Drosophila melanogaster: one gene and its partner. Changing the gene in region 1 together with any one later gene gives a genetic interaction. Each region holds a gene or a part of one and is shown on either strand. Other genes may lie near its edges.

Region 1 (4,796 bases):
GAGCCGGCATGACTCTGGTTTAGTACCACGCACTAGACGGTCTGACCATGTCTACGGCCCCCTCTTTAGAAATCTTCCTCACTTGGATGCACTGGAAACATTGGGGTCACATACTTGTACCTATTTTCATTTTCAAAAGCAGAATGTGCTAGAAGTATGATTATAGGGTATGTGATAGAATATTTCATTTTCATAACTGATTTTCAGTAATTAGTACTGATCTCTAAATAAATTTTAAAGATACATTTACTTTGAGCTGTATAATATATAGATTAAATTCAGATGTTAATGAAACAATTTGAATATTTTTTACAGCTTGTAATTACTTCCTTCCGGAGCACTTTAGCTTTTTAACATAGACCATGTCTACGGCCCCCTCTTTAGAAATCTTCCTCACTTGGATGCACTGGAAACATTGGGGTCACATACTTGTACCTATTTTCATTTTCAAAAGCAGAATGTGCTAGAAGTATGATTATAGGGTATGTGATAGAATATTTCATTTTCATAACTGATTTTCAGTAATTAGTACTGATCTCTAAATAAATTTTAAAGATACATTTACTTTGAGCTGTATAATATATAGATTAAATTCAGATGTTAATGAAACAATTTGAATATTTTTTACAGCTTGTAATTACTTCCTTCCGGAGCACTTTAGCTTTTTAACATAATTTCGATGCCTAGAGCAAAATGACCGCGAATCTAAAAATTTGAAGAAATAAAGTTCCTGCAAACATATACCCATTAATTGCTTAGTGTATACCCATTGTTATTGCCATTCTTGGGTGCCCATTGTTTGTGTTCTTGTCGTATGTAAATTTTGCATTGAAATGTGTACGCTTGGGTACATGTGTGTATGCACGTCGTGGTTTTTGGAGGTCCAGGTCTCTGGCCCTCCTCCCTTTTGGCCACGCTCCCCAGTGCCCCCCTGCCCCATTCGAAACGTCACTCCGTTTCATTATTGTTCACTTGGCCGCTTTCGTAAGTCGGGCCCAATGCAAAACAAACGGCGAAGAGCAGTCAAGAGAGTAGAGCCGAATCAACCATATGTCAGTTAAAAGGGAAGGAAGTCGGAGCAAAAGAGCGCCAAGTGAAGCTTACCTTTGGAGCTGTGTTTTGGTTTTACCAGGGTTGCCAGGTAAGAAGCGATTTCATGAAAAATTCATCCACAATGCTAAGGCTTAAATTATTTCCTTGTAGATTTTAGATCTACATTTTTAAAGTAAGATTACTGCAAAATCTCTGTCCAAAATAATCCAAGTAATCATGACATTTTATTTTTAGGTTTGGCTATCGAGATTTGCCTAATACGATATGCCTATCAGTAGCTGAACAGAAAACCAGTTTTCCAAATGTTTATTGACTTAAAGAAGATATCTTAGGCCATAAATAGTCTATTATCAGTTATCTGCGTCCTAAATTGCAATTTGCTATCTTAGTTGCTTTGTAACCAATAATATTACTCGACTGCGATTATCGCCCCTGCTTCGTTGCTATTATTCGACAACCCTGGTGGAACACTGGTAACTCTCTTTGTTAACCGCCACCTAAGAGAGCCAACCGATGTTGTTGGTTGTTGTTGCCAAGATACGAGGCTTAGCCAGTCGTTCGTCGTCGTCGTCGCTTGGTTACTCATTTGTTTTGCCAATTTTCGTAGCACGGCGGCCTCAGCGCCATTCAGTTAGTAACGAACGTTCGCGCCAGACACACGTATCCGCCACGCCCCCGCGAAGCCGCCCTCTGAAAAGCTGGGGAAAGCCAGAAAATCGTAACCGAAGCGAAGCGAGCGCGCGTTGTACGGCATCGGAGAATCCGAAAATCGGAGAATCGGACATCGGACATCGGAAGTTCTGCTTTGGAGTGGAGCAGCGTCGTCGTGACCGAGGTTTCTGCCCTCATACATATACGGATATAGTTAGCTATATATATATATATACAAATAGTTTAAAAGATATATAGGGCCAGACTGTAGCGCGCTTGCGAAAGTGGAAAGTATCTGCTGGATACTTTGGATACTTTCCGTTTTGGGGGAATTAATTAGACCAATATATCCCATGCAATCCGCGCGTTATTTTTGTTGTTTTGTCAATAATAATGCCAAACTCTGGCCAAAAACGGCATATATAAGCGGAAATGCAAAACAATAATACCAACAATTTGAGCCAAATCGGTTGTGTATTTGTGAACTGTGCTGTCTGTGCTGCTTCCAAAAAAAAAATCAAAATAAAACGAATAAAATAAAATAAACACAAAGCGCACATAAATAACAAAATAAGTGTTGGCTAAAAGCTTAGCCTGAAGCGTATTATACATTTTAACAACAGTTGCTGTTGCTACCAAAAGCAGCTAAGCGTGAAGTGCTTGCCAAATGAATTTTCTATATAACAAATGAAAACGGCTAAAAAATATATATAAGTTTAAAAAAACCGGACCAAATTTTAAACGAGATCTGTGGACTTTGAGAGATTCTAGCCACCTTCGTTTGGCTCTATTGTTGTGTTTAGTTGGCCGATAATGTTTTAAAAATCATTTAACATTAATTGTATATATATTTGGGTATTTCGAAATTTAAACCTAGAGCGGAGACTCATACTAAACTCATTGGTACATCCTCGCTAACTAAAGCAACCTCTGTAAATAAACTTTTAATACCCTTAAATTTAATGGAACTACTACTGAAGTTCTTTTTGGATAATCTGCCTTAACAGCCTTATAAATATCCACCCACCTGTATAAATCCACGCATGTCAATACGCCCCCCAATCCGCAAGAAACTTAAACCCTATTTGATATCCAAGCCGCATGAAGCTTAACTAAAGACTAACTTAACCCTCTTGCTTAACACTGTAGTTATATGTTATCCCCCCCCCCCTGCCCAAAACACCCCTGACCCTAGCAAAACCAAAAACCGAAAAAAAGCCCCAATAACAAGTAACTAAAAACGTGCTGGCAAACGCTCAACGTGACCGTCGCTCCTTTTGGCCAACGATTAGACCCGTCTTGGCGGGCATACATATATATATATACCACATTTAATGCTAATTCTCATTACGGCTGTGTACTTATACTTATATATCTAACCGAAATCAACTGCAGCTCAAACACATCAGTCGCTTTAACCACGGGTCTGCTCTCTTTTGGGAGCAGCTGGTGTCCATGGAACTATGCTCGGATATATCATCGTATCGCCGCGCCAGCTAATGCTAATCCTACGACCAGATCAGAGCCATCTGAACACCTAACCAACGATAAACCCAACTACCAAAATTGTGATCTCTGCATCGCACTAAAACCTAAACTGATATTAATTGCATCCAACTTACTGTGCGTGTGTGTGTGTGTGTTATGTCTGTAAATTTGGTTCGTTGCTATTATCCGTACCCGTAATATCACGTACACACCATACCACACCTACCCGCCTGAAATAAGTCCAAGCCTGCCCGCTAACGATCATGCATAAACCAAAGCTAGCGAATGCTATAACCGCTGCCGCCATTGCCTCATCCATATCCACCAAAAACAACAACAACAACAGCATCGTCGGCGGCAGCAGCAGCAGCAGCTCCGGTGGCAACAAATCGAAGCGACCACGTCAGTTTGGCCAATACTCGATCGGAGTTGGAACTGGAGCTGGAGCTGGGGGGCTACTCCGGTCGGACGACTCCGGCTTCGACCACCTCGACTATTCGTCACTAATTGGGGATTCGATTGATTTAGAGCACTACATCAGCGCCATGGAGGCACGTCGACACGACCAGGAGCCGGATGTTTGGGCCCAGCTGCAGCAGAAGGAGTCGGACATCCTATTGGCCGCCGAACTGGGCAAGGCACTGCTCGAGAAGAACGAGGAGCTGGTCAAACAGCAGGAAAAGCTCATCGAGGACTATTCGAGCAAAATTGAGGTGAGTCATGAAACACATATAAAGTTAACAGGTGGAATTGCCATTATAAATGGCAAACAATTGAAATGGAAGTCAGTTATTTGGGGGAAAGGAAAATTGGTTAGAATTAAAAGAAATTTAGGAAGAGGACATATAGCTTGGAAGGTACTTTAGTGACTTAAAAGATAGGCAATGCATATTATACTTTAATACACTTACAATTTAAAAGATCATAGAGATGATAGTTATGTATCTCTTGAATATGGTTAAGCAGCAATTTAAAGAATTGGGAAATGAAAAAATTAATTTTTGTTATGTTTTCTAAATGAATGGAAGAGATCTAAGCACTCTTTATTATTAGTTTAATGATATCTTGCTTATTGAGGGAATGCTTTCATGTTCTTTTATCTCTATTCTCTATCTGATTTACTAAAGTGTGAGCAATAAACAAAATAATCACTTTGCTTCTATCTCTATATTAGCTACCAATTGTGTGAAACCAACATTTGTAAATTCAGACCCATTTATTATTTTCCCTTTTTAAGCTCCCTACCTTTTCCTCTAATGATTTCTTGAACAATCTAATAGTTATCTCTAAATGCCGGCGCATTTATCAAATCGGCAACGGCAGTTATACCTGAGTACCAGAATTTTGATTGACTCACCTGATGATTTGCATTGATTATTGGCGGACATGTGTTCGTAAATGACCCCCTCTATTGACGCATTGCTGGCATTCCCAGGTCGGGAGAATTAAATAATACATATACAATATGGATTTTTTTCGAGAGCTGAAACACAGCACCTGTCCAATGCAGCTCTGTAAACTGAACACACAAACTCCCCAAACTGTCAACTGCAATTTATATTGTGGGGTGGGTTCTTTAACTATTTAGACAAACAAAAATGGTT
Region 2 (4,989 bases), on another chromosome or scaffold:
AGCTGATTAATTAACCAGTTGCGACCGCCCTTTAAAACTTCTATGGCATCCCGTACACATTGGCGGCCCAACTCGAAATTGCGGTACAGCGGGTAGGTGATCATTCGCCGCAGGAAGGCAACCAGTACGTCCCGATAGTTGTCGAATTGCTCAAAGTAGCAATAAAGCGGGCACAGTATGCTTCGCGTCCAGCCCGATTCACACGTCGGCTCATTGTTCGTCGTCCGCACATCATAGCATATGGCCAACAGAATGCTTATCAGCCCGCAATCGATCTCGTTTTGCCGAAAAACGTCGCACGGCTGCTGCTCCCGTGTCTGCATTCGGCTGATGTTGTGCAGCAGATGCGCTTGCTCCTGGGTCATGGAAGTCTCGTAGATTTTCGGTTTGTAGCGTAAAGGATTCTGGTGACCGGACGGAACCTGTAGCTCCACAAAATTTATTTTGTACTGCTCGCGGGAAAAGCGCTTCATCTCATCGACCACGCGCTCTTGCCGCCTTTGGATGGGGCTCATGCGATGTGGCTCCGACACGCGGCACGTGGCTCTGTCCAACTGTGAAAACATCTGTGTTTAGTGCGCGGAAGAGCAGGTTAACCAATTGAACTCACCTCACTCAGGTCTAGCGGTCCGCTGTATTCGCTAGCATAGCCGTACCCAAAATTGTTGGTCAGCTTGTAGGTGCGCTCGTGGTCGTCGAGCTGCAATTGGCACTGATCGGTGATTCGTTTGAGTTTCCATTCCTGCACCAGAGGCTGCTTGTCCGGCAAATTGGCACTCAGTGTGGGTAGGTGCAGGAATGCGGCTATGTACTCTTTGCGACTATTCCACTGCTTGGCTGCATCCCCCGTACCACCGCCTCCGCCTCTTTCTCCACCGGGTCCTTCCTGGGCACCCGCTGTTAGGGGCAGACAGCGCAGGCAAATTTGGTAGTGATTCTCTGTCGTGTTGAACTTTATCAACAGCGTCTTCAGCTCTCGCAAGTCGAAGGTGCGACGGCTGTGGAATCTGTCCGAAAAGGGAGTACAAGTACGCAATGATATCGCTGGAATTTCGCCACCATGGCCCACCATGGGCACGACAGATTGCCGGATGTGACTCACTTGTACAGCTTAACATCTGCGTAGAAATAAAGATCGTGCGCGTCAACGAATATATCGCAGTTTCTTATGCGATCCACATGCAACGCCTCCGCTTCCGCCAACCCCGACCCCGCTTCCTGACCAAACTCCTCACCAGCGGAAGAAGAAGCAGCAGCAGCTGCTGCTGGCTGGGCCGACTTTGAGGACTGATTCAGGACAGGCGGGCGGGGTATGATCAGCGTGCACGAGTTCTCCAAATAACTGTGTGCAATCTGTCCATTCAACATCTTACAATTTTATTACGAGACTGTTGATTGTGCTAACTACTGTTTTTTAGTATAATTTTATTTATTTTAATGACCAGTATGACCGCCTACTCGAAACTAAAAATTCCTGTTGACAGCCCCTTAGCTTACGTTACGTTTGGCTACACTTCCGACAAATCTAGCTACTTTTTAACTGCTGTTGGGGAATTTTAAGTGCTAAGTTATAAAAAAAGATTTATTTATAGTATCTTAATATTTTATATTTTTATTTATTTATTTATCATTATTTTTTTTTATTTTCAGAACTTATATGAACACATCGTAAAAGCTAAGTTCAGCTATTTCGTATTCGCTTACGTTATGGCAATCGATATTTTCCCACCTAACGCCGTAAACTCAAGTCGATTGCACGCGTTAGCTCCACTTTGTGGACGCTTTAGGACATTGCTCATACGCTCGCTCCATTTGCCAGTCGCCATTATCGATTTGTGGCAGAGGAAAAATAGAGAATTAAAAAATCGCGTTTCAGCGTTAGGCACCGGTTAGAGAGCGCATAAACCGCGGCGATAAATTGTGTAGTGATTGTGACGTAGGAACCACTAAATCTTTACTGTTAGTTTAATCGTGAGGCTCGCATAGCAGAGTTTTCCCGTTCGAAATATTCTCAATCAATCAATACCTCTCTGTCTCTCGCTCGCCCCATACGCGTGTGTGTGTGTGTCTCTCTCTCCCTCTCTCTGTATCTGCTTTCGAGTGTGTGTGTGTGTCGGTGTGGTCAGCTCCTTTGGTGCATAATTAAATTAATCAAGTAAATAAAAACCAGCGAGCGGCAGCAGAAACAACAACAGCAACAGCTTCATCATGACCATGGCAGGGCAAACGATCAACGACAGGCTGCTGGCCGCCCGTCACAGCCTTGCGGGCCAAGGACTCGCCAAGTCCGTTTGCAAGGCCACCACGGAGGAATGCATTGGCCCGAAGAAGAAGCACTTGGACTGTGAGTTGCCCTGTCTATCTCTTTCCCTTGCCCACTCTCTTGGTCTTTCATTGCGTAAATCACCGTTACATTTCCTTGTTATAACACAGAGAGAAAAGAGGCACAGCCTTGTGCTACTAGTGGAAATGTACCCATCAAACACACGAAAATATTATTGTTACTTTGTAACGCTTTAAAATTAATTTATTTTTATTTGCAAACATAAGTCGCAATAAAATCTGTTTAGAAATTAACTTAAATTTTAATAATAATAAAAATTGGAATGAATAATATACTAAAGTAAGGAGTGCCTAACAAATTAGCAAAGAAAATAAAAAATTTAAATGTAGCCTAAATATAAAAACCATCGGCACAGTTAGTACGCTGCAAAAGTAATTTAGCAACAACATTCAGATGCAACCAGTTCGGGTTTCTTGGCTTCCTCGCTCCATTTTCACGTGCCTTTTGTTTTTGTGCGATAAATCACAAAGTTTTCTGAAAACGAAACCACTGATTACGGTCCACAAAGTCCCACAAACACAAACCACCACCCTCAAATTGCATCTGTGGCTCAGCTGCTGGTGTTTGTGGACTCCGTTCGTCATTGATTGGACTCCCCTCTCTTTCTACCAACACACTCTCTCTCTCTCTCTAATGTTACGTCACTTTCCCACGGGTGCACGTGTGTTTGTAGGGGCTTTGAATGGCTTAAAACGCCTACGAAAGCAGGGATTGTGTTTGTCACGGTGTCATTGCTTGTTAAATTTATGCAAGAGTCTTCCCTAATTTGCTGGATTTGCTTACACGTTTGAATTTTGCAAATACTTCTAAAGAGCTCCATATCCTAACGACATTCATTCCCGTTGGAATCTGTTTTTTTGGCTAGTTTTGCTCGCATTTTGACCCCCTTTTATTTAGCTTGTTGGCACTTTTCAGATGACTCATCAGATATGGCTACGAGTAAATGGGAATAAAAGAGGGCAATATTGTGGGGCGTTACTTGTCACATAAACATTGTATTGCAGTTGCCGCAAACCAATTTCCAATATAACCCAAAATTTGGCCACATGTGCTGTTTATTCAAGTTGATTACTTTATCCAAAACGTTATGCTCAATTCAGTTACCAAAAGTCTAAATAAATTAAACCTGAGTTAAAAGTCAGTCCGTACATTTTACAAGACGTCAGCAGGTAGCATGAAATATATTTCTTCTACCTATTTTCTCTATTTTCTTTTGTTAACAACTTTTGTCCTATGATAAAACCAGTTGTGTGTTCACGGAAACAACAGCACTTAATGAGCTTTACACCGATTGAAAAGATCCCAGAATATTTCAACCAGCTACACAAGTGGGCAATAATAATTAAAATTAAGTATCAATGGTCCCCCACTACAGTGGAGTCTCGATACCCGACACATTTATTTATTTATGTATTTAAGAGCATAAGCATGCGAATTGACCCCAGCGATAACTACGCTACAGAAGTCGCCAATCGCTTTTGGTATCCGAGCACTGTAAATATTTTCGAAATATATGTGAATCAGTGAAGATTTCAAAAAGGGCGGATACGAATTTTAACTAAATAACTCATTCAAAATGTCTTAACTACTCAGCGATTTCAACGTTTTGTCATAAAGTGACACCCCCAGGCCACTGTGCTCGTTAAGAAACTCACCAGTTTCGTTTACAAGGACCGATCAATTTTCCACATTTACTGTTTATTGAAATTTGTTCTTATTTATGTATAAATGAATCACTGGCCTGGCGCCCGTCAGCCAAACAAAATGAAGCAAAAGGACGGCGAACATCTGCGATGGCTTGTGAAATGTGCAACGCCCCTCGAATCCCATGCAATTTTTTCTTGCTCGGCGACAAACACTTTCCAACCGAAATGGGAATTGATTCAAATGGAAGCGCATGATAGTAGACACAATGGGATTCAGCTCTTATCATCGACACTTTTCCGTCAGTATTTAGCTTGAATGGCGGCTGCAAGCTTAAAGCGCAGATAAGCAAACAACGACTAAGAGTCGCGACCGATAACGGGACGCAAAAAACAAGATGATTAAATTTATGGGAGGTTCGGTTATTATAATAATAATAATCTTTACAGAAACGTTGTTTGTTTCTGGAACAGATAAATTGACTTTTAAAGTTTTATGTTGCTTCTTAAACATGTAAACATTTGTTGTTTTGCTCATATGAACTAAGTTTTCGTAAAAAAAATATACTGTTGAATAAATCTAGAGGATAATAACTAATAGTTGTCGGCGGTTATATCGAATCTGATTGATTTTTCCAATAAATGCTTGGGAAAATAAATATCAAGTCAAAGTTAATCGCAACCAAAAGTAAAGTTGAGTTGGACGTACAAAATTAAGGAAAAGAGCAAATGGTTCACTAACCGAAAATTACAAAAAAAAAAAACGTTCTTTATTGTTTTCTAATCTACTGTATGGATATGCGTTAAGAAACTAATATAAAGCTATGCTTAATAAAATGATTTTCATTTATTATTTTAAATCAATGTAAAATGTTAAATTAGTTTGTGGTTGCTTTGTGTTAATATAAGTTTCATACCTTTATTTAATTGCAGATTTGGTGCACTGCACAAACGAGCCGAATGTGTCGATACCTCATCTGGCCAATTTACTTATCGAGCGTT

Evidence for each region. A genetic interaction does not mean that the proteins touch.
Region 2: of CG32137 (region 1) and lap, changing one enhances a phenotype caused by changing the other (phenotypic enhancement), as found in Drosophila melanogaster (one study listed by BioGRID).

What each region holds. Positions count from the first base shown.
Region 1 is NT_037436.4:13,937,571-13,942,366, forward strand, and holds the start of CG32137 (uncharacterized protein), read left to right. Parts: upstream 1-1,679; 5' UTR 1,680-1,888; intron 1,889-3,099; 5' UTR 3,100-3,455; coding exon 3,456-3,905; intron 3,906-4,796. UniProt on the Drosophila melanogaster protein: Functions redundantly with BicD. Involved in formation and/or development of mechanosensory organs during metamorphosis.
Region 2 is NT_033777.3:7,185,204-7,190,192, forward strand, and holds the start of lap (like-AP180), read left to right. Parts: upstream 1-1,790; 5' UTR 1,791-2,208; coding exon 2,209-2,344; intron 2,345-4,920; coding exon 4,921-4,989. Other genes in the region: CG10055 (uncharacterized protein), read right to left, coding at 1-554, 611-1,007, 1,103-1,368. UniProt on the Drosophila melanogaster protein: Assembly protein recruiting clathrin and adaptor protein complex 2 (AP2) to cell membranes at sites of coated-pit formation and clathrin-vesicle assembly.